Arabidopsis thaliana: one gene and its partners. The protein of the gene in region 1 interacts with the protein of each later gene in a biochemical or structural test. Each region holds a gene or a part of one and is shown on either strand. Other genes may lie near its edges. The genes, in order: RCD1, SOS1, NAC13 and DREB2A.

Evidence for each region.
Region 2: the proteins of RCD1 (region 1) and SOS1 form a complex in vitro, tested with the Arabidopsis thaliana proteins (one study listed by BioGRID).
Region 3: the proteins of RCD1 (region 1) and NAC13 form a complex in vitro, tested with the Arabidopsis thaliana proteins (one study listed by BioGRID).
Region 4: the proteins of RCD1 (region 1) and DREB2A form a complex in vitro, tested with the Arabidopsis thaliana proteins (2 studies listed by BioGRID).

What each region holds. Positions count from the first base shown.
Region 1 is NC_003070.9:11,610,220-11,616,735, forward strand, and holds RCD1 (WWE protein-protein interaction domain protein family), read left to right. Parts: upstream 1-1,898; 5' UTR 1,899-2,149; intron 2,150-2,518; 5' UTR 2,519-2,641; exon of another isoform or gene 2,642-3,093; 5' UTR 3,094-3,207; coding exon 3,208-4,331; intron 4,332-4,439; coding exon 4,440-4,687; intron 4,688-5,012; coding exon 5,013-5,092; intron 5,093-5,182; coding exon 5,183-5,341; intron 5,342-5,424; coding exon 5,425-5,520; coding exon of another isoform or gene 5,521-5,529; exon of another isoform or gene 5,530-5,612; coding exon 5,613-5,675; 3' UTR 5,676-5,999; downstream 6,000-6,516. Other genes in the region: AT1G32225 (uncharacterized protein), read left to right, coding at 1-70. UniProt on the Arabidopsis thaliana protein: Inactive ADP-ribosyltransferase that functions with SRO1 to regulate oxidative stress, hormonal and developmental responses. Required for embryogenesis, vegetative and reproductive development, and abiotic stress responses.
Region 2 is NC_003071.7:455,248-463,040, reverse strand, and holds the start of SOS1 (sodium proton exchanger, putative (NHX7) (SOS1)), read right to left. Parts: upstream 6,040-7,793; 5' UTR 5,972-6,039; coding exon 5,746-5,971; intron 5,643-5,745; coding exon 5,592-5,642; intron 5,514-5,591; coding exon 5,422-5,513; intron 5,342-5,421; coding exon 5,264-5,341; intron 5,169-5,263; coding exon 5,011-5,168; intron 4,929-5,010; coding exon 4,827-4,928; intron 4,738-4,826; coding exon 4,620-4,737; intron 4,541-4,619; coding exon 4,488-4,540; intron 4,402-4,487; coding exon 4,336-4,401; intron 4,235-4,335; coding exon 4,190-4,234; intron 4,040-4,189; coding exon 3,987-4,039; intron 3,503-3,986; coding exon 3,318-3,502; intron 3,206-3,317; coding exon 3,161-3,205; intron 3,074-3,160; coding exon 2,966-3,073; intron 2,751-2,965; coding exon 2,519-2,750; intron 2,442-2,518; coding exon 2,142-2,441; intron 1,961-2,141; coding exon 1,863-1,960; intron 1,780-1,862; coding exon 1,648-1,779; intron 1,566-1,647; coding exon 1,347-1,565; intron 1,261-1,346; and 7 more. UniProt on the Arabidopsis thaliana protein: Acts in electroneutral exchange of protons for cations such as Na(+) or Li(+) across plasma membrane. Involved in Na(+) and K(+) homeostasis.
Region 3 is NC_003070.9:11,909,925-11,914,236, reverse strand, and holds NAC13 (NAC domain protein 13), read right to left. Parts: upstream 2,607-4,312; 5' UTR 2,601-2,606; coding exon 2,324-2,600; intron 2,082-2,323; coding exon 1,074-2,081; intron 955-1,073; coding exon 545-954; downstream 1-544. Other genes in the region: AT1G32880 (ARM repeat superfamily protein), read left to right, coding at 12-309. UniProt on the Arabidopsis thaliana protein: Transcriptional activator activated by proteolytic cleavage through regulated intramembrane proteolysis (RIP). Involved in oxidative stress tolerance by mediating regulation of mitochondrial retrograde signaling during mitochondrial dysfunction.
Region 4 is NC_003076.8:1,600,545-1,604,633, reverse strand, and holds DREB2A (DRE-binding protein 2A), read right to left. Parts: upstream 2,430-4,089; 5' UTR 2,265-2,429; intron 2,008-2,264; 5' UTR 1,985-2,007; coding exon 977-1,984; 3' UTR 595-976; downstream 1-594. Other genes in the region: AT5G05420 (FKBP-like peptidyl-prolyl cis-trans isomerase family protein), read left to right, coding at 64-151, 241-282, 371-419, 516-594. UniProt on the Arabidopsis thaliana protein: Transcriptional activator that binds specifically to the DNA sequence 5'-[AG]CCGAC-3'. Binding to the C-repeat/DRE element mediates high salinity- and dehydration-inducible transcription.

The DNA of each region.
Region 1 (6,516 bases):
TATGGACGGAAGTTTACTTACGGGAATGATGATACATGGGATTCAAAGTGTCGACGGCGGAGATGAATGAGGAGGAGCAGATTGGACACCGTTAAAGACGAGATCTTGGTGGTATGTGCCTTGCAAAGTCTGATGTCGGGCACACGTCGATCTCTTTTGGTGGTGAATTCAATCTGGTTGGTGAAATAGGAAATTGAATTTGTTCCCAAAAATAAACGGATCCCGAATATCCGCGGATATCCAGTTTTTTCACGGATATTCGAAATCCGGATATCCGAGGTTTACGGATCCGGATGCGGATCCTAAAACTACATATCCGCCGGATACGGATACGGATCCGGATACTCCAAAAAACCCGGATATCCGGATCCGTAACAGGCCTAATCGTAGGTTGGTAAATTCTAGAAAAATAAGAGATATAAAAACTATATAGTTGTGACATATTCATTATTCAATATGAGCCATGGCTACACAAACTATATAGTTGTGACATTTTCATTATTCAATATGAGCCATGGCTACACAAACTATATAGCTGTGACATATCATACACAGAATAATATTCCCATGAATGCATGTATATATAGATCCTTTGGTTTTCCACCGAATAGTACAAACGTGTATATGATAAAAGTTTAGTCTTGAATTTTATAGATCTTACAAGATTGGGAAGACAGCCGTTTTCGGTACCAACTAAACCCGTAGTCACGGCCGGTCCATCTTAATATGCTGTCTAAAGCCCAAAAAATAAAAACTGGCCCATTATAAAACAAAGTTGAAAAAAATTGCGAGGTACAATTTATCAACTAAGTATTCTTCATCCGTCTAGACATCAAAAGAGTTCTAACTCTCTCCAAGAGATATCGATCTAGTGTTCTTTCTTAAGCCAATCGAAATGTTATTTATCCATCCTCAAATTAGCCAATTCCAAATATTGTTTTCAAATTATAGCCTTTTCCAAAGATTGTGTTTTCAATGAATAATTGTAGAAATTTAATTTTGATAGTTTTTTTATAAGAAAACTACGCAAAAAGTCCAGACTTAATATCCAAGGTGATATCTTTTCCAAGTCAATAGTTCATTGACTATTATGCGTATCTTCTATGTTTTAAAATAAAATAAATTTTGCTAGTTTAGAAATGTGATAATTATTGGAAGTATATCAATGGAATTTTTTATATCTCATTTAGTATGTCTAATTTTGAAAGTTATCTGTATTGAAAATGATTAAATATTCTTACCCTTATAAACCATATATCACTTCAAAATTTATGCTATTGTAGTATTGTTTATAGAAAAACGGAAAAATAAAAATCATTACAAATAAACGCGGCAATGAAACAGAAAAAATAAAAACCATTAAAAATAATCGCGGCAAATTTAAATAACGGCTATCGAAATAATGAAAATTATTTTTTGTTAACAAACATTTTTCTGGAGAAAGTTTTTAAAAATTGATTAAATATTCTTATAACTTTGTAAAATAATATTTTCAAAAACTTCTAAACTATCCTCAACTAATAAAATTTTATTTGCCACTTGCAATACAACTAAAACTTTGTTAGACCTTGTACGCAATAAAGAAAATATTTTTCAATGTCGATAGCTATCTCCATTCCAATGGCCCCCCTAGTCTATTCATCGATTCACAATCTTATCAATCATGTTCCGTCAATACACACTTTTCTAATTTCAACAATTTTATAATTGTTGCCCTCGTTACATTTAATTGTAATATTTTTGTTCTCCTCATGATAATATTATTCCATTATTGTATTCGACCATATCTATCTGCGTGTATTGACCGCCTCTTCAATTAAGTCACCACCCAATAAGATTTCGACGTTGACTGACCGACTTGTAGCTTTAATAAAGCCCACATGATTTGCTTTTCGTCCAAGCAAATTTTTGGTTAGAGAAAGAGGAAAAAAACTCAGGAACCGCCGACTTAAGAATTTCTTCTTCATCATCTCTCCAATATCGCCGATTATATATAAATGACTCTTCGATTCTGTTTCTTCTTCGTCGTCATCGCCGGCTTAGGGTTTTCTCTATAAGCAAATCTTATCTTCTCCTTTTCCTCCGTTTTTTCTGGTCAGCTTTTGCTTTTAGATTACCCTTGTTGCCTGCGATCGATCTGAAAAAAGAGGTCCGTCATGTTCATGTTCATGTTCAGTTTCTTTTCGTTTTGTTTCAATTCTTCTCATGCGATTTGAGGATTTTTTTTTTTATCTTGAATTGTTTTTTTTTGTTGAAGTCGATGATTGTAGATCGGCTTAGATTCGTTTGATTTTGAGTGGTTTTGTGTTGTTTTGATTGAGTTTTTGGATGATTCGTGTGATTATGCTTACGATCTGTGTTTTTTCGTCTCTGATTTTAGTTTATTTTGAAAATCAGTGAAACTGCGATTGATTTGGTTCGATTTGTGGATTTTGTGAAGCAACAGAGCTATTTTGACTTGAGAGATGAATTTTAATTTTTATTGAAAGCTAAAAAGTTGCTGGTTTGGATGTTGCAGGAACTTTATCTTGCTGACGGCTGTTATAAAAAGACGTGGCATTTCTTCTCTGATTGTGTTTATTTTTATGACGGAGAAGATGAACACACTTGTAATCTATCAGACTCTAACTGTTACTGTTGGGTGAGTTTCAAGCTCATGGCTTGGGTTTATTGTTCTCATTTTTCTGTGTTGGTGATTGGGTTTACTTGTTTTTGTTGGTTTGTTTCTGTGTTTATCTTTAGTGTCTCATAGGATCGTTCTTGTTGAGTGTGATGTTCATTTCTTATTGCTTCATTCCTATGTAGGTTGATTTGTACCTTCCGTCTTTGTAATGGATCTTTGTGCTCTTTATAACACAAGATACAACAAGAAGTAATGAAAGACTGTTCATAATGTTACTTACTGATGGAAATTGTAGCAAATGTCTTTTGTGAAGGAATGATATTACAGGATCATAGGTCTCATATAGTTATGCTGATTCTTTCTTGTTTACTGATTCTTTATCATGTAAACTGTGAGGAGTTTTTGTTTGACTCTATTCTCTGTAATATAGTTGTTCAATATTTTAAGCCTTTTCCATTTCTTTTGTGCAGTGTTTTCTAATGCTGTCGGCAAGACACTATCTTTAGGACTGCTAGGGAGTTTAGAGGTTACACAGTTGACTTTTTCTATCAAGGTTATAGGTTTAGTATTGTTAATATATAGAAATGGAAGCCAAGATCGTCAAGGTGTTGGATAGTAGTAGGTGTGAAGATGGATTCGGAAAAAAGAGGAAGCGCGCAGCAAGCTATGCTGCATATGTTACTGGAGTTTCGTGTGCAAAGCTGCAAAATGTGCCCCCACCGAACGGGCAGTGCCAAATTCCTGACAAAAGAAGAAGGCTGGAAGGTGAAAACAAGCTTAGCGCTTACGAGAATCGCTCTGGGAAGGCGCTGGTCAGATATTACACTTATTTTAAGAAGACTGGAATCGCTAAACGTGTTATGATGTATGAGAATGGCGAATGGAATGATTTGCCTGAGCACGTTATATGCGCCATCCAGAATGAATTAGAAGAAAAGAGCGCCGCAATTGAGTTCAAGTTATGCGGTCACAGTTTTATTTTGGACTTCTTGCACATGCAAAGACTAGACATGGAAACAGGAGCAAAAACCCCTCTTGCATGGATTGACAATGCAGGAAAGTGCTTTTTCCCTGAAATTTATGAGAGTGATGAAAGGACCAATTACTGCCATCATAAATGTGTGGAAGACCCAAAACAGAATGCTCCTCATGATATCAAACTTCGCCTAGAGATTGATGTTAATGGTGGCGAGACACCGAGGTTAAATTTGGAGGAGTGCAGTGATGAGTCTGGTGATAATATGATGGACGATGTTCCCCTTGCTCAACGATCTTCAAATGAGCACTATGACGAGGCTACGGAGGATAGCTGCAGCCGCAAGCTCGAAGCTGCTGTTTCGAAATGGGATGAGACTGATGCTATAGTCGTCTCTGGTGCCAAGCTTACGGGAAGCGAAGTACTTGATAAAGATGCAGTAAAAAAAATGTTTGCTGTAGGCACAGCTTCTCTAGGACATGTACCAGTGCTGGATGTGGGCCGTTTTTCCAGTGAGATTGCTGAAGCTCGTCTAGCACTTTTCCAGAAGCAGGTTGAGATCACTAAGAAACATCGAGGGGATGCAAACGTTAGGTATGCCTGGCTTCCTGCAAAGAGGGAAGTTTTATCAGCAGTGATGATGCAAGGACTTGGAGTTGGTGGAGCATTTATCAGAAAGTCCATCTATGGTGTTGGGATCCATTTAACCGCTGCAGACTGCCCTTATTTCAGGTATTTGCCTCGTATTCATCTGTTTTTTTCATGTTTAGATCGTATATTTTACCTTCCTCTGCAATAGGTTCTTTGTGTGTCAAGTACTAACTATGAACTTGTTTACAGTGCTAGATACTGTGATGTTGACGAAAACGGAGTACGTTACATGGTTTTATGCCGTGTGATTATGGGGAATATGGAGCTTCTTCGTGGTGATAAAGCTCAGTTCTTTTCTGGTGGAGAAGAATATGACAATGGAGTCGATGACATTGAGAGTCCAAAGAATTACATTGTCTGGAACATCAATATGAACACACATATATTCCCGGAATTTGTTGTTAGGTTCAAGCTGTCTAATCTCCCCAATGCTGAAGGTGATTAGTTTGTTCTTTTTTTTGTTCCTCACATTCTATCTTCCCCCATTCAAATCAACTGATGACGCATTGAAAGGGAGACAGCTTAGAGATCTGGCTGAAGCTCAGGTCTCAACTGATAAATTTAGAAAAAAAAGTTCCATGTGTGATAATGATAAACCTAACGACCTCCGGTGTTATAACACATTTGGGTTTCAAGAGACAAGTCTCTGATTCATCATCCGGGGGTCGGATGTGATACTCACGCCTTAATGGGTATTTCGATCCATCAAAATTATGTTTTGTGTAGTATTAGAAGTCCGATGACATACACTGGTTTCTGCAGGTAATTTGATTGCTAAGCGTGATAACTCAGGGGTCACTTTGGAAGGACCTAAGGATCTTCCTCCTCAATTGGAGTCAAACGTGAGTTTGGTTACTTCAGTTTTTCTTTGTATGATCTTATTAAAGAAGAGGGACTGAACAACTATATGTGGTGTTGTTGTGTTTAAAAAGCAGGGAGCAAGAGGTTCAGGAAGTGCAAACAGTGTTGGTTCAAGCACTACAAGACCCAAATCTCCATGGATGCCATTTCCTACTCTGTTTGCAGCAATCTCACATAAGGTTGCAGAGAACGACATGTTGTTGATCAATGCTGACTACCAACAACTGAGGGTATAGAAAAAAACTGATTCTGAGAGTTTGCTTTATGATTGGTAATTGCATAAGCTGGAATACATAAGAAATTTGTTGTGCAGGATAAGAAGATGACGAGAGCGGAGTTTGTCAGGAAACTGCGGGTGATTGTAGGAGATGATCTGCTAAGGTCCACCATAACAACCCTTCAAAACCAGGTAAGATAGTAGTAGTAGAGATATTGTTGTTGATCATAAGTTTACTTTGTAAACGGAAATGCTCAACAAAGGTTTTTTGGTTTTAACTTCAGCCAAAGTCGAAGGAGATTCCAGGAAGCATCAGAGACCATGAAGAAGGTGCAGGTGGATTGTAAGTAAAGTGGATGATGATGATGACGAATATCAAAAGGAAGCTGCTTTTTATCTATCTACCTGCCTTTGTGGTTCTCCTTTTGACTTTTTCTAATTTTAGACTTTTGGTTTTGGGTCGGGTCGTTGGTAGAGTTTAAAATGTGTCGACTTTTCTTTCTGTCGTGAAAAATCGTACTATATTATATGATTCTACTTAGTCAATGATGTCGTTGGGTCTTTGTTTCTTTAGCTGCAAGCAAAACATTGTTGTGGAAGTCGTTGAATCTTGACGAAAATTTGGTCGTTAAGCCTATCGCGTGAAACTTTTCTTCACTATACTTTTTCTCATTATTCTGTTAGCTTTATTAGATGCCTCACATTTGTGTGAAGGATTATTTAAGAGTATGATAACTGGTCACCTCTGGGTTCCTTTGACACTTGTGTACTACGGGTAAATCAAGACTAGAGGAATACCAGGAGAAAATAGTGTTGGTCCTCTCCTCCCCTTTAGAGCTCTATATGATGCGCACTGAGTAAGCTTGGCCTCTGACGATGAGAAGCTAGTGGATATCTCGATATTCTAGGTCCAATCAGTTCGATTTTATGGAGTCTCTGTGGAGTAGAGTAAACGGTCAGTTTGGGATCTCTTTCTCTATAACAGCGATTTGGAATCTGATCCGAGTGGTTCACCCAAAAGTACAATGGTTCTGGCTGTTTTCTTTTCATGGTTATAATCTGAAGCATTATTTTATTCCTTTTTGTTTGTGTTGTGAGTCGGCATTTTAGCTTTAAACGAATTTAAAACCGAGGAATTGATGATGAGCCTAACTCTTGCATATTACAGAGGATTGGAGCCATGTATCT
Region 2 (7,793 bases), on another chromosome or scaffold:
TGTGCTGCTTTCCCCTTTCAGAGGAAGCTGACACGCATGTTTACGGGTTTCAAGCTGCTTCTTGGTCACAATTGAACTTTCTGATTTGGCTGAAACGAGACCTTGAGCTGGGTTTAGTGGAAGTTTTTTGTACAACAAGTTATCTTGTAACTTGTTATTATAGATCCCACCGAAACTTACACTCCTTCTGTACACATTAACCTATATTCGAGAATATCAGAAGATAAAAACCTTCAGGTTAGTCGAGAAGTTCATCGATAACAACCTTTAAAAGAATCAACATTGAGATCTTTTTTACCATGCTGCCGAAAATGCTGAGTTGCATTGCTCGTTCAGATAAACTTAATGTCGTTTTATTGATCTCTTGTTGTTGTTTGGCGTAAATATTTTCAGGCCAGCTCATGAGACCTCTGTGTTCTTTACGAAATGATCTCTGAAGCTGATCAGAGCTTGAGCTACGTGGTGGTGTTAACGAAGATGGTCTTCGATGTAGAGTCCTATCAGCTCCAAATGCTCCAATGTTGAAGATGATTGCTCTTGCTCTCGTCTCAACAATATACTGTGTTGCTTGTTGTGAGAAACTGACTCTCATGATACCTGTGGTCAAAAAAACAAAACACATTTTTGATTTAATTCGATTTATATCATTCGCTGACATTTAAAAAGGTTTGATCCTGCTGTACTGTGCAATTAATTACCTGAAGCTTCTGATGAATTATGGAAGCTTTGATTCCCGTTAGAAGGTGATAATGCGGCGGGAGATGATATAAGCTCTTCTTTGATACCAACCGGTTTTACGAATCCTTCTAATAATAAACCAATGCTGTTGCAGTCGATTTCGATTGATTCTCCCGTCACATATGTTGTAAGTTTCGAGCTTTCAGTTGAAACAAGGGCTCGTAATTCTTGCATTGCCACACTTTCAAATATCTGAGGACGCAAGAGTTTGAGAAGAACCAATGCACTTTCCTGCAAACAAAAAAAACCGAAAAAAGTTGAAGCAACTTAACAATCAAGAAATGAGTCTCTCTAAAATGGATTCTAATAGAGACGTACCTGCCAAAGGAAATCATCGATGGTAGAATCTGATTGTAGTGATAGAATTTTCTCGCTATCAATGAAAAAGCAAAGAACCATAGAATCTGTAATCAAGTCGCACAGATATGGCTTCCCAGTGAGGACTTCGTAGAGTCCCAATGTACTACCGTGAGAAAAAGTTGGATGCAGCGAGTGATTGTTGCTTAAGATCTTACTTTTCCACTGTAGGATTGTTATAACATTCAGTTATGAAGGTAATAGATCATACAGACTTACGAGTTAAAAGTAAAAGATAAGTTTTGGGTTACCTTAACGATGCCATCAAAAATAAGCCAGACTCCAGTTGGCTTTGAACCTTCTTTATAAAGCGTGACACCACGCAGTTTCATTGGTTCTTTTTTCGAGTGTTTTAAAGGTTCACAAAATGCAGGAGGAAGAGCAACCGATAACGGATGTGAGGTGATCATGTCGCTCAATTTTGGAAGTTTAACTATTGGAGGGTTTCTCAAAAGCTTTTTCAAGCCGGTCTGCAGAGATAGATTTGACCAAAAGCATAAGACAAAAGAGACAAGACTATAGTTGAAGGAATGAGATTCTTTAATTTGGTACCTGGACAGCATCATGAAGATGAGCGATTTCTTTTTCCTCCAACAAGCCAACCTTCTCGAGGTTTTCAATGTAACCGAGTAAATGATTCAACACTGAATATGTTACTTGTTTTGTTTTCACAACACGGAGAACCTGAAACCAATGTTAATCAAAGATTATATGTGCCTCACCGCAAGAAAGATAAGTCACCCGAAAGAAATGACAAGACTCTCAACCTGAGGAAATGAAGATCGGACTTTTTCCAAGAACTTTTTTGCTTCCTCTCCTTCCTTTTCACTTTCATTGATTACAATGGAACCAATATTACTCTCCCCTGTGTAGAGAAGATAGATAAGTATGAGACAAAACTAGGGTTGGGTTAATGTATTGTTCTTACTAAGTTGAGATACTTGCAAACAAAAACTCTGACAATTAATGATGATACGGTACAAGTTTTATTCTTAGTCATTGTTTTCAAAGTGTGATGCAGACTGCAGAGTATGGATTGTACATACCTAGAAAATCATACAATTGCTGTCGTGCAATTGTATGTGCGCGAAGAAACGCAGCAGAAATGTAGCAAGCAGATTCTAGTCTTTCGACAGCAAAGTATGTGACCAACTTGCGTGGGACAACTTTAGAATGAAGAAAGTTGTAGTAATTTGGGAAATTGACATGTGGTTTTAGACCTCTCCAATCACATAAAGTTGTAGAAACCTGATCAAGCGCCTCATCCACTGACTGCATCAAAATATTAGCAGTAACTTCAGATATTCTGCCCTCATCAAGCATCTCCCAGTAAGTTGCTTGCACACCTGACACAACCAATTTTCAAAGTGTCAATAATCTACCAGGTAAAATAGTATATTGGAGGGTACATGATCATAACTACCATTTAAGAACCGCATACGTATGTCCTTTAAACTTTTAGGGTCAAGACTTCCAATTTTAGAGCCATTGTGAGGATGATGAACTAGTTCCCCTTCTGAACCTTTTAGGCTTGAAATATAACTTTCAACTGTAGGCCAGTCAGCAGGTCCTAGCTCCTCATCGTCTCCTAGATCTTGAAACGCTCGTAAGGCCTTATTCAACATTTCGTACTTTGTATATTCCAATATTCGTTTCTGTCAAAAGGAAAGTGGTTTCTAATAAGGTTCTTCGAATACATTACTGACTAGAACATACAGACCCTATTGAACTATACAGCTTAAAGGCTCAGACTCAGGCTAACACGGTCACTTACACATGAATACAAAGCATAAGCAAAAAAATCTCTGTTTACACATATATTTGATTACTTAAAACTCGGAAAGTTATTCGTATGAGAGAAGTTTTTGACCTTGGGGGCTGGTAAAATATCCATGCGAAGAAGGCGTAGAACAAATTGGGTAGTGGATCCATTAACTATCAGAGTTAGGAACACAATTCCACCCGTGAAGAAAAGAAACTGCAAAAGAACTGAGAATATGAAGAGACAAAACAATAATTTGCATAATCATTTTAAGTTGTCAATAACATCTTTAGACTAACTTACCAATGTTCCAGTCTCCTTGCTGATATGTGAATTTCCGCTTGATTGCTGAATCAAATGAGTGCGAGTAAGTCAGCACAGAATCAATGTGGCTGGAAAAAAACATTGTGCAGAAATTTAAGAGAGAAGAACAACTTTAACAGATGTTCTTAAAATTAACCTTCACGGATAAAGAAAGTGCAAGAGCCACTGCGCCCCTCAAACCAGACCATACGAGTATAATGGATTCTTTCCAATCCAAACCATAGCCAAAACGACATAAAAGTGGATATAGAACTCCAACAACAACAACACGCGATAGTTGGATGTAAACGTATAGCAGAAAAAGAAATCGCCATGAATTCCCTGTAAGAAATTTGGGTCGTGAAGAGTTGTTAGATCCAAAATATAAAAAATAGTTAAAGTTAAGTATATCATGTGCCTTATGCAGATATGGTTCCAGAGAAAAAATATATGGTTCCAAGACAGTACATCTCTAACAGGTACTTAATAATAATAACAGACTGGTGAAAGAATACAATTGTCTCAGTCCTAGCACAGTGGTAACTTTCGCTCAATATTTCGTAACCAATAATGCCAGTTTTTTTCTTATTCTTGTAACTGATTCACGTTATGGAATTAGTGATCCTTCGAGAACCAAAGACCATGAACAGTAAGGTGTGTTAACAACGACAGAAAACTATGATAACAGGTGGGAGTCCTATGTAATGACTTAGATCTCATCTTCAATTAACAGTGAACTGTCGAAAATGCAGACAAAACTATGTTCACAAAATTTACTTTAGCTAGGAAAAAAATACTGTACACTATCAACATTAAATAATGGCACCTTGGTAGGCAATCTTATCACTGTCGAGAATGCCTTCAGCAATGACAACACCACTGCAAACATAAAACGAGAAACACAGTCAATATTGCAACACCAGGCTAAAGAGTAGACTGCAGTAAAATAGCTCTTTTTTCTACCCATGAGCTTCTATTTTAGGGTTGGCAAGCACAAGCATGATATGAGTCTATAAAATTTACCCTTACCTGAGGATAAATATCAAAGTGTTTGCAATATATGCAACCATTTCCCTGCACAAGTTACCGGGAAAATTTATATCACACAGATCAACCTTTTACATAGAGTTACAATATAAAAAAACAAGTCCAAATTCCACAAGTTCTGGAAATACCAGAAGTGATGCAAGCTTTTTTGACTGTCACCTTTAAAGGCTGTCCTTGCAAATGCAGCATAAAACCTGTTACAGTTATTTTATGAGAAGAGACTTCTTAAATGATAACAAAAGAAAGGGAAAAAAAAAATAACGAGATCACTGAAATTTACATGCCCAAAGTCATGACCGTCAAAACACCAGAAGCCCCAGCCCACTCTTGAGCCTGTCACACAATAAACTCTCAGTTTTACTACAAAGAGAATATCTTAGCACAGGAATTCAAGGTCTACAGAAAGACGTACAGTGTAGTATGCGAAATAGCTCACTGCAATTGTAAGAGTAATCTCTATTACAGTGTCATTGAATATGAACTTGAGCCAAATAACTGATGCAATGCCAAACGCCAGACCAATGCCTACACTAAATAGACAGAAGAACACGTTGGACTGATAAGAACACAGCAGCAACTTGATATCACTAACAACAGATGAAAAAAGATCAAGACATACGCTCCAAGTGCGACTTTAAGCAGAAATTTGATTATAGAACTCCAGTCAGAGTTTTGCCCCATAGCCATCTTTAAGAATAACTGGAAAACAACAATCGCCGTCCTGGAATTGTTGTTAAAAATCATGAAGAGTGAGCATAAATGTCAAAACTAACCAAACCATGACAGAAGATAACGTCATTTACCCATCATTCATCAGGGATTCCCCTTCAATTATGGTGCTTAGCTTCTTACTAGCACCAAGCTCCTTTAGCAAAGCAACAACAGCAACCGGATCAGTAGCACTTAAAAGTCCCCCAAGCAACAAGGACGTTTTCCAGTCCCATTCATACGGAAACGTGACCTGCATATAGCAAGTATAGTTTCATAACATAATAATCGATTTGTCTTTCTTTGTTTTCAGGACAGCTACTTAATACCAACCAGGCTAATTCATACCTTCACAAGCGATCCAAGACAAGCTGTTGAAATAAGAACTCCAGGGACAGCAAGTAACACCATTTGTCCCAGACACCTCTAAAGAATCATGCAAGTATTCAGTACCTATTTCTCTTAACCTTTAAGCTTAACTAGGAATTAGAGCCAGAGGAATAAACCTTAATTTGGTGAACTTCCATTGAAAACGAACTCTCGAAAAGAAGAGCCGGAAGAAAAACAGCTAAAAGAAGTTCTGGATCGATCTCATTCCCTGCACAATAACATTGATTCTATAGTTCTTACAAAGCCAGCCATGGAAGAGAAGAAAAATTCGAAACTAAAAACTTACAGATACGAATTCCATGGCCGATCTTTCCAAGGTTATGTTTAGCTCCATATTCTGAAACACCAAACAACATGAATTAGCAATTAAGCATGATTACGTTGACTTCAAGGATTAAAACAGATGAAGAAATCAGAAATTCCATGGAACGAAATCGAACCGAGAGATCCAAGAGCAATTCCGATAACGAGAAGAGCGACAGTGTAAGGAACCCTAGTTCCACGAAGCAAGTGCCTAGAAGCAATACCGAGTACCAGAGACATTCCGACGAAGAGAACGGCGTCGACAGGGCTAGATTCTAGTTTGGAAGAAGAAGAAGAAGAAGACGAATCGGTCGCTTCCTCCAGAAATCTATACGCCATCGTCGCGTCGATTACAGTCGTCATTTTATTTGAATATATCTAAGAAGCAACAACACAGAGGAAGAAGAAGAATGCTCGTTCACTGAAAAAATAAATAGCTGAAAGAGAGTAAATACTTATAGAGCTATACATACACACGTGTATAGTACTGTAGTGTTAAATTAAAATTAAATTTTACTATTAATTTTGTTTATGATAACATTATCATATTTTTCTGCTATATATTTTTCACAATTTTCAGCCGACCAATTCTTCAATGTTTATATTTTTTCTGACCAAGAGTATATTAGAACCAGAATTAGATAAATTAATGGAAATATAATGATGACAAAAAAATAATATAAATATAATATATAGTTTGTTTTGGATTTTATAGATTGATGTCATATAGATGTGAATGTGACTATGGTATCTTCACAATGAAATTAGTGCTTAATTTGTGTACAAGAATTTATTGAAATTGAGTTTATTTGTAATAAGTATTCCAAAACCTGGTTTGGCCTTAAAAGGAAAAGAAATATTCGTAGTTGGTTTTTTGACATTTTGGGACATATTTTTCTTATGATTTAATTGATAAGACCTCTTACTGTTGTACTTTTTTGAATAAACAATTGCAAATGTAAATTGGCTATTTTAGAATTAGACGACTAGCCTACCAAAAATACATTTATAATGTGGATTTTGATATGTGTGTGAGTGTGTTTACTTCGTGGAGTTTGATGTGTTTAAGGTTTCGAAAATATTTGAGAATTTGGATTAGCCTGACTCTATTCGGCTGATCCAAAACATTAATCTGATACCTTTCAATTCTTCACGTTAAATTTATAATATTTTTTAAACTTTCAATTATGCTTAGCTGATGCACAACAACATTTTCAATTTCGCATATCAGAATAACACCAATTATCATTTTCATGCTACCCAGAAGCACCTACAAGGTATCAAGTGTGCATGTTAAAAGACTGTTTGGGTTAGTATTGATTAATCGACCAACCGTCGATCCTAATGAAATGCTCAAAGATAGAATCCAACATAAAGAATCTCTATTGGTATTCAAGATTTGCTTATAGAGTAGTGATTGTTAGTTAGTTAGTTTGTTATTCTTTGATTTTCCAATCAGCTTACGAAGATTTTTCAAGAGTAGAGATGCTAACAACATGCATAATAATTTGTCTAATGGTAAATTCTACAATAGGAAAAGAGTTTACATTGATTACTCTATCATTAGTAGTTCAGGGGATAGTAGATGTTTGTTTTGTTCTAAGGCTTATGTTTATGCTCTGGAAAACTGGTTCCAGGCGAGAAGATTCAGAGAGAACTCGTTGATGGATTACATATCATGGTCGCTGATGAGTGTATGATTCGCCACCACCATCAAAGAAGGTGCAAAATCAATAAGTATCAGAGCTGTTACAAAAATAAACTTTATAAATAAATAAAATTATTGTCTGTGTAATTAACATCTTAATTTTATAGTGTTCTTATTTATCTGGTTTGGTTGCAAAAAATTGAGTTTAGTTAAGATAATCAGGTATATAAATTACTACATCATTCATTTTATGTACAAAAAATTTGGTTTATATTCCAATTGATAATACTTTTTACTTGCTTTGCTTTAATCAATTTCATAAACGAGATACTATTGTGAAAAAAAAAAACGAGGCACTATTGATCTTTTTTCTTTTGACCACCTTTTTATTTGTATCTTCATCATCATGATTTTGTTAAAGAGTAAAAAGAACATTACTGATTGTTATAGTCACATGGAATGCAATAAAACTCCTATAAATAGTAGAAAGCACAAGAACGAGAGAATCACTCTACCAATAGAAAATTGCTACTTATT
Region 3 (4,312 bases), 300 kb from region 1:
GTGTGATTCAGATACATGGTGGAGCAGAGCTGCATCAAACCTTTATGTGATATCCTGTTTTGTCCAGATGTAAAAACCATCTTAAAGTGTCTGGATGGAATGGAAAACACATTGAAGGTTGGAGAGGCTGAAAAGAACGCAGGAGACGACGTGAGCTGGTATACTCGACTGATCGAAGCGGAAGGGCTAGATAAGATTTTGAACCTGCAAAGACACGAAAACATCGAGATCTACGACAAGGCTTTGAAGATTCTGCAGACTTACTGGCTTGAAGAGGATGATGAGGATATACAACAACCTCCAAGTTAATAATCTAGTTAAGTAACATCATTTGTTCAAATATCCTAAAAGATAAGAAAATTCTTTTGCTTATTTCTATTGGTACTTTTTTAACAATACCAGAGAAAACTTCCAAGCATAAACTGTGATACTAAACAGCTTCTGAATCTAATAATCCAAGAGAATAATTACAATGACTTGACTCTCTAATGGTTCACACAAAACCAAGCCTTTATGTCTCTTAACCTCTTGGATTTTTCGGTTCTCACCATAACAAAGGCCTCCCTGAACCTCCCATTGTTCCTATGATCACCCAAAACAAAGCACATAAAGCCCCAATGATCGATAAGCAAAAGAAACCTTTGTTCTTCTTCTTCTTCTTATCGTTGTTTCCTCCAGACTTGTTCCTCTTCACTGCTGAGTCACTATCCATAACAACAACATTATTACCTGTGCTTTTAGAAGTAAACCTGAAACGACCACCACTGGTTGACATTCTAACAAGGTTCAGCTTCACAAATGGATTCTCTGATGCATATGCTGGCTTTGCAGGAATGGATTCCAGGAAAGTCCATACACTAGAAGCAAACTTACTAGACTCGTCTTTTGACGGGTCATCTTCATTAGTTGTACTTATACCAGAAGGAACAGGGTTTAGGAATTCAGATGAATCACCTGTCAAGGGAATATGATTAGGATAAGAAGCCAGTCGCTTTCCTCACAATTAGATAGAATATTTAGTATGCGAGTGAAAAGAGGTATCTACAGGAAAATCTGTTAGTGCTTTCAAGTACCTGTACCAGGCGCCTCACCAAACCGGGTAACGGTAAGTCCGTCATTGTTTAGCTCCTGCACCCACGATGATCCATTGTTTATCTGTCTGGTATAGCTGTTACGGAGTGGCCAGTTACTAGCTTGGTTCTTCCCTGATTGCTGCTGGAACTGGTTATTATTGGCCTGGTAAGTCATTAAAGAAGTATTCACCTGAAGACTTTGTGCAAACCCATTTTTCAAATCACCACTAACAAAATCTAACTGAGGATTTGTCACTCCCAAATCAAGGAAATATGAATCAGCACCAACGAAATCATCATCATTCAGGAGACCAGAACCATCCTCGTTCCAGTTATTCTCCATGACTTCCACAGAAGTTGGTTCAGGTTCAGGTTCCATAAGATCATTGATTTCCAAATACATATCTTCCTCCAGGTTCTCCAGATTATACGTGTCTACATGAGAGTTCAGTCCAGACACCCCATTCTGCTGCAATGTTGGACCAGACTGATCTCTAACCTGACTCATCAGCTCTTCAATATCATTATCATCCAATTCAGATTGGTTAAGCCCTTTCCCCCATAAACTATTATCAACACTAGCCGAAACAACGAGCTGATTAGCAGGCTCATCAACATCATCATCATCATCTTCAGCCCATTCTTCTTCAATAAAAGGAGCTCCATATTGCTCACCATTCTTAGGACCAGACCCACTTTTCTTATAAATCTTGTAAAGAACATAAGCATCCTTAACATCTTCACCACCACACCTCTTGAGCTCCTCTTTGTGCAATGTATACTCATGCATCACCCAATTAGTCCGTTCGCCATTAGGTGCCCTGCCTCTATGGAAAACAAGAGTCTTCTTCTCTCCAACGGGTCTCGAATCACAATGAATGACTCTATCCTTCCCTGTTGCTTTCCAATAGCCACGTTCAGTAGCTCTACTTGACCTACTTCCATGTTTCCTATCCCTTAAGCTGAAAAAGAACCATTGACGATCTCTAGTCTTATACAACGCTTTCTCTACACAAAAAAAAAGAGTCCATTTTTAAAGTCAGAAGCTAAAAAAAAAAAAACCTTTAGAGTGTAAATCAATCAACCATACATACATATGTAACAATCATGCTTGTTCAAATTGAGCAATCTATGAATGAAACAGATAAAAATCGAAACTTGAAAACAGAGCAAAACATTCCAATTTTGAGGTAAACGAAAGCAAATCAAATGAATTAAAGAGTAAGGAGAAGATTTGAAATGAAGGGTACCAGGTAATTCCTCAGGATCAAACTTATAGACATCAGTCTCGCCGATTGCTTCGACTCTGAGTTTTTTCCGACGGATCTTTCTTTTGAGATAATAGACGACAAGTTCTTCGTCCGTCGGATGAAACCTAAAACCTGGAGCTAAACCTCCGTTCTCAACCGACAAGTCCATCACTTTTTTCTCTCTCGTTATCACAAAAAAAAAAACCCTAAAAAGTTTCGATTTTTCTGTACCAAATGGAAGAAGAGTCTTATTCTGCGGAAATATTTTATTTTTCATTTAATTTAATTGGTGTTTTTTCCTTGGAGAAGAAGGTTTGGCTTACAGAGACGACACGTAGCATCTTTGTTTGCGGAATTATTTTACTTTTCATTTCATTTAATTGTTATTTTCTTTTTCCTTCTGGAGAAGTAGAAGGTTTGGCTTCGAGAGACGTCGTTTTTTCGGGTCGGATACCCATTTAGATTCAAATCGGTATTCCAAATTTTCGGAATTTTGGATTTGAGATAGAAAATCTGTTTGGATATATTTTAGATTTTGGGTTCGGATTAAATGTTTTAATTTCTAATTCGGATTCATCAAAATTTCCAAAAATCAAATATTTCATAACTAAATATATTTAAACTACTCAAAAATATAAAGAATATATATATAAAAAACCCAAAACATTTTTTTAACCAAATTTATTCAAAAATAATTAACTATTTAAAATATTTTAAACATTCAAAAATCCGCATGTTTTGACACTTGATTATTAAAAATATAAATATTAATAATATATTATTACTATGTATTTAAATTGTAGATATGTTCCGATATCAGTTCGAATTCGATTTTTGGATTTTGAAATATAGAATTTGTTCATGTATTTTGAAATTTTGAATTTAGATTCGGATCAGATACTCGGATTCGAATATTATGCCTAACTCTAAACGACACGTAAGATTAGAAACTTGATTATAATAAGCGTGATATTTTATTTAGTAATAATAAATTCATCGGCCTACAAAAACTGTGGGTTTTTTTTTAGATGTCCATGATTTCTCCAAATGACTAGAACACAACCGAAGTATTTGAGAATTTTGTTGAGCTCTTGTATATACAGAAAATAACCCATTGGATGTGTTATTTGAGTTTAGTGTTATATTATATTTGAAAGATTTGACTATCTACCATTTATGTTGTATCTTTTCTTCAATTATATATTATAATATATATTTTTAAAGAGTACATAGTTATGTTTTTATTTTATTTTTTTAGAGATGGAGAGAAAGATGAAGCAGCATCATCATCAGATGTGAAAAAGATTGAGTTTACCTTGTTCTATATTAAGAGGTGTTTTAATGTTCTTGCGCAATTCTCTTTCAAATTGAAATGGTTTGTACTTTGTGCCATTACGATTGATATGCTCTACTGGTATCAAGGATTGAGATTGGAAAATTTTAGGTGTCATTATCAAATTGATTGCAAATGGAGAAGATTAGCTGTTTGTCAAAACTTATAGTATTACAATCATGTTCTATTTTTATTTTTCTTAATATCTAGAAGTTCAATAATGAAGATTTTATATTTTTTAGAAGTGAAATCCATATTAAGTTAAATTCATCTTTTTTAGAAAATAAATCATTTTCAACGTACGTCGAACACAATACTTTCATCTGAAAAATTTACCACTAGCTAACACCACGTTGATTACAATCGGGTTTTATTGTTGTATACAAACTATTTTACGTAAATTATGTGTTTTTTGATTAATGTTATGGTTGAACAAAAATGAATTTGTTCTTCGTTCAATACTTATTTAGATAACACCATGGTGAAAGAAATTGTAAAGTTTTTTTTGCTATTTTGGTGGGGTTTTGGCTTCTTTTATTTGGACTTTATTTTTTATTTTCTTTTGGTCTTAATTTCCAGAATTTCTTCATTCTCTGATGGTCTCTTGTACTTTTATTTGAAAATTTAAATTAAATTAAGGTGAGAAAATAAAAGAT
Region 4 (4,089 bases), on another chromosome or scaffold:
CTAAACTGTTGTAGTTTGTGTGCAAATATTTGTTGGAGGTCAGTCTATTGTCTCTGAGTGCAGGTAAGTGTCCATTATACTGGAAAGCTTCAGGGGAATGGGAAGATTTTCGATTCCACCGTTGGAAAATCACGTTATAAGTTTCGTCTAGGTTGGTATTATAACTTGATGCGAAAGTAAGAGCTTTATTAATGTGTGAGTGGTACTTGGATACTTATGTGCTTGCTGTTACACATACAGATGCTGGAAAAGTCATTAAGGGATTGGATGTTGGCCTTAATGGTAACCTAGCTAGTTTCTTACTGGTTTTTCTTCACTAAATATGGTCAAATGGTGTGTTGTTTTGATCTCTTTTTGTAAATTTCTAAAGGAATGCTTGTTGGTGGCAAAAGAAAGCTTACAATTCCTCCAGAAATGGGGTAAAGCCTTTGCAAATCTTTTTTTATTTTTCCATAATGTGATGTTTTATTTTAAGCTTTTTTTAATGAGAGATGATAAAATTGTCTGGCTCACAGGTATGGTGCGGAAGGTGCTGGTAGCATTCCCCCTGACTCTTGGCTGGTCTTTGATGTCGAGCTGCTTAATGTTAAATAAAGCTGCCCTCTAATCCCTAGAGAACTTCCTAAGACTCAATCCAATGATGAGTTTTTTTGTGGAGATCGTATAGTTTTTCCTCTTACGATTTCAAATATTGTGAGACACACTAAGGCCCATAAAGCTTCACAAGTGTGTATTATTCATTCCTGTTGTTACAAAACATAAAACATATCTAAAGAACAACTTAAGAGAAGCAGACTAACAAACTATAGTTGTCTTCTCTATTGTCATATCACTGTTTCGATATATACAGTTCACCTTTATAACAAGAAAAAACGTGTTCTGTAGTTCTCTATATCACTAAAACTCGGATAGAGAATCAACAGTCGTTGTGGGATTAAGGCAAATATCAAATCCAAAAAGCTTCATATTGTTTTGTTTAGTTCTCCAGATCCAAGTAACTCAAGTCGTCGAAGAATCCATTACCATCCTTTCCCTCGAGCTGAAACGGAGGTATTCCGTAGTTGAGGCTTTGTAGCGGATCAAAACCACTTTGTTGACTCTCGGGCCTGTATGAACCGTTGGCAACACTGTTCCCCGGGTACCGGTCCTGATTTAAGCCTGCAAACACATCGTCGCCATTTAGGTCACGTAGAAGCTCATCGACATCAAACATGTCTGAAGAATCCAAGTGACTCTGATCCACATCATTGGGCCAACCATAGTCTGCAACAGATAGCGAATCCTGCTGTTGTTGCTGACAGGTTTCTACAATCCCTTGCTCCTTCTGTTTCTCTTTCTCTTTCAGAATATCACTCCAATAGTTATGTTCAAACTCGCTCAGCCAATGCTTATCCGCTTTAACACCTCTCTTCATCTCTTCCGCACCATTCTCCAGACAATACATCGGCTCCACTCCACCGGAGAAGGGTTTAGATTCACAATCTGGATCCTCTGTTTTCACATGAACACAACCAGGAGTCTCAACAGTACACACCTCAGACTGACTTGAGGTACTCGTAACCTCAGACGCATCAGACCGAGGGAAATTAAGACGAGCCAAAGGACCATACATAGCTTTAGCAGCCTCATCATAAGCAGAAGCAGCTTCTTGAGCAGTAGGGAAAGTACCAAGCCAAAGCCTGCTACCTCGATTAGGCTCTCTGATCTCAGCAACCCATTTACCCCAAATCCTTTGCCTAACTCCTCTGAAACTACATCGGCTATTCTCTGGTCCTCCTTTACCTTTCATACAACCCTTCTTCGACCCTTTCGCAGGTACTTTCCTCTTCTTGGTAGAAACTTCTTCTACGGTCTCGTTATACTCTTTCCATCTCTTTAATCTCTCAGCCACAGTAGTACCGTCACCTCTACTTCTAGATTTCCTTTTCCTCGATGTATCAATTTGTGTTCTGTTTCTATCTCCACTCTGATCATAAACTGCCATCTCCTTCCCAGAAACAACACAATCTACAATACAACAACACTTCAATATCAGAACACAAGCTGAAACATAAGGCAAGAGAACTTAAACTTGGTTCAAAATCAGATCGATTTACTTATTTGTTATCAAATTAGGAACACCTAAAATTTCCCAATTTCACAGCTATACCTAAAAGGAAATAATCGAAAACCTAAAGACGAAGATAAACCCTAGAATCACCAATTGACGAGACCTAATCAGAGAAATTAATTGAAAATTTGTAAGAAATCAGAAATCAACGTACCTATAGGGGACGAAATTTGAAAATCAAAGTCTCTTCCTTCGAGTTGATAAATCGCTTTCGTGTTTAGTCTTCTTGCTCGTATCTTTTCTTCTTCTTCTTGTGTGTAGCTTTTTCGAGTTTTCCTCTTCTTTTTATCAGACAGCTTTAGCAGAAATCAAAATATCTAAGGAAGACAAAGTATCTACGGAGTATTTATAGCCTTCTCTAGATTTTTCTAACATTATTTTATTTTTCTGTTTGAGAGCAAGGTTACGTGTCAGTTTTTGATTCGAACATAAAGGCTTAGACGACTTTTCCGTTCGACGAGTGTCCTCCCGAATCTTCTCGAAACACGCTGTTGATACGGAAAAGTAAAGTTTAAACCTTTTTAAAATTGATTTATGGATAAGATCATAAAACTACTTCATTATTTAAATATTATGAAATTTTAAAATATCTTCATTTTTTTTTTATTAACCCTGACAACACAACACTGTCTCATCTGCTCTTTCTCGATTTTTCTTGGTTTATTGCCAGTTTGCCACTGCATCACACTTACTAGATGTGTAATTGGATGATGATGTTTATTGCCTGTTTTTCTAGTTTTTACAAACGTGCACATTATTCAATTTTGTTTTGATGAGATACTTATCGTTTATATAGATATTTTTAAAAAGATCACGGTTAATATTGTAAAATTAAAGGTTTCCGGTGTACGTACGACATAGAGCGAATTCATAAATGTGTCAGCCAGAAATGTCTTAAACATGAAGTATTAGTTTAAAGTTTAAGCATTAAGTATTAGCTAGAGACGTGTCAAATGGTGAAGCTCAAACTTGGGTGGCTTAGCTTCGAGCAGAGGTGATAGGGTCCATTACCTTATAAAATTTGGGAATCGCAAGTTGTAGCAAAGCAGCAGTCATTTATAGCCTTTGCATGTGCCTCATGTGTCCTTTGCTAACCAAAGCCACTTCATCCACTACGTGTCTCTAACGGCATCGCTAACGTAAGCTCACGCAATTGCCTACGTACTTCAACCTCATGGGCCTTAGTTACTTAACATCCATTATCAAACCCATTGCCTACGTGATACAATCCCATGTGCCTCAGTTAATTAACATCCATTATCAAACCCTTAAAGCCCGTTAATCTAAATTAGCCCATTGGATGGGTGTCGTCCATTTTATTTCTACCGTCGGTGTTGCTACTATCTCGCTATCTCAAGCACGATCGGGTGAGCATCTTCTAGTCTAGTCGATTGAGCCTACAAGTTTCTATCTTCTGGATCTATATGAAATTTCAGTTTGTTTGTTTTTTTTTTCGCTGAAGAGAAATTTCAGTTTTTATTGGTCTAAATAAGGCATGAATTTGGAAATCTGTATCTACGAGTTGGTTTCTTCGCTGTAATGCTTGTTTGTTTTTGGTTTAGTGAACAACATTTGGATGATAAATTATTTGTGCGGAAAAAGCTGCAAGATGATGCCATGATGGCAACACTAATTTTGTTGCTGACTGTAGACTCTCTTTTCTTCGACGACCGTGAGAAGAGCTCTGTAAGTTTGGCTTCTTTCTTTCCATATTAGTATGAATAGGTTATTCGCGTGGCTATGAATCATTCAGCATTGTCTAAGGCCTAGGATCGATAGGGAGGAACGCATTCATTACAATGATTTAGGTTATCGATTACAAAACCATTATTGGAAAACGAGATGTAAGTAAAATGTTGACTTGGCTTGGCCAAACCACGTTAGAATTGTGTTAAGAAAAAACGAGCACATAGTGCTCACTAAACTTGGCTCTGTTAACATCCCAAGGGTCGTTGACCTTATGAAAAAAATGTTATCTT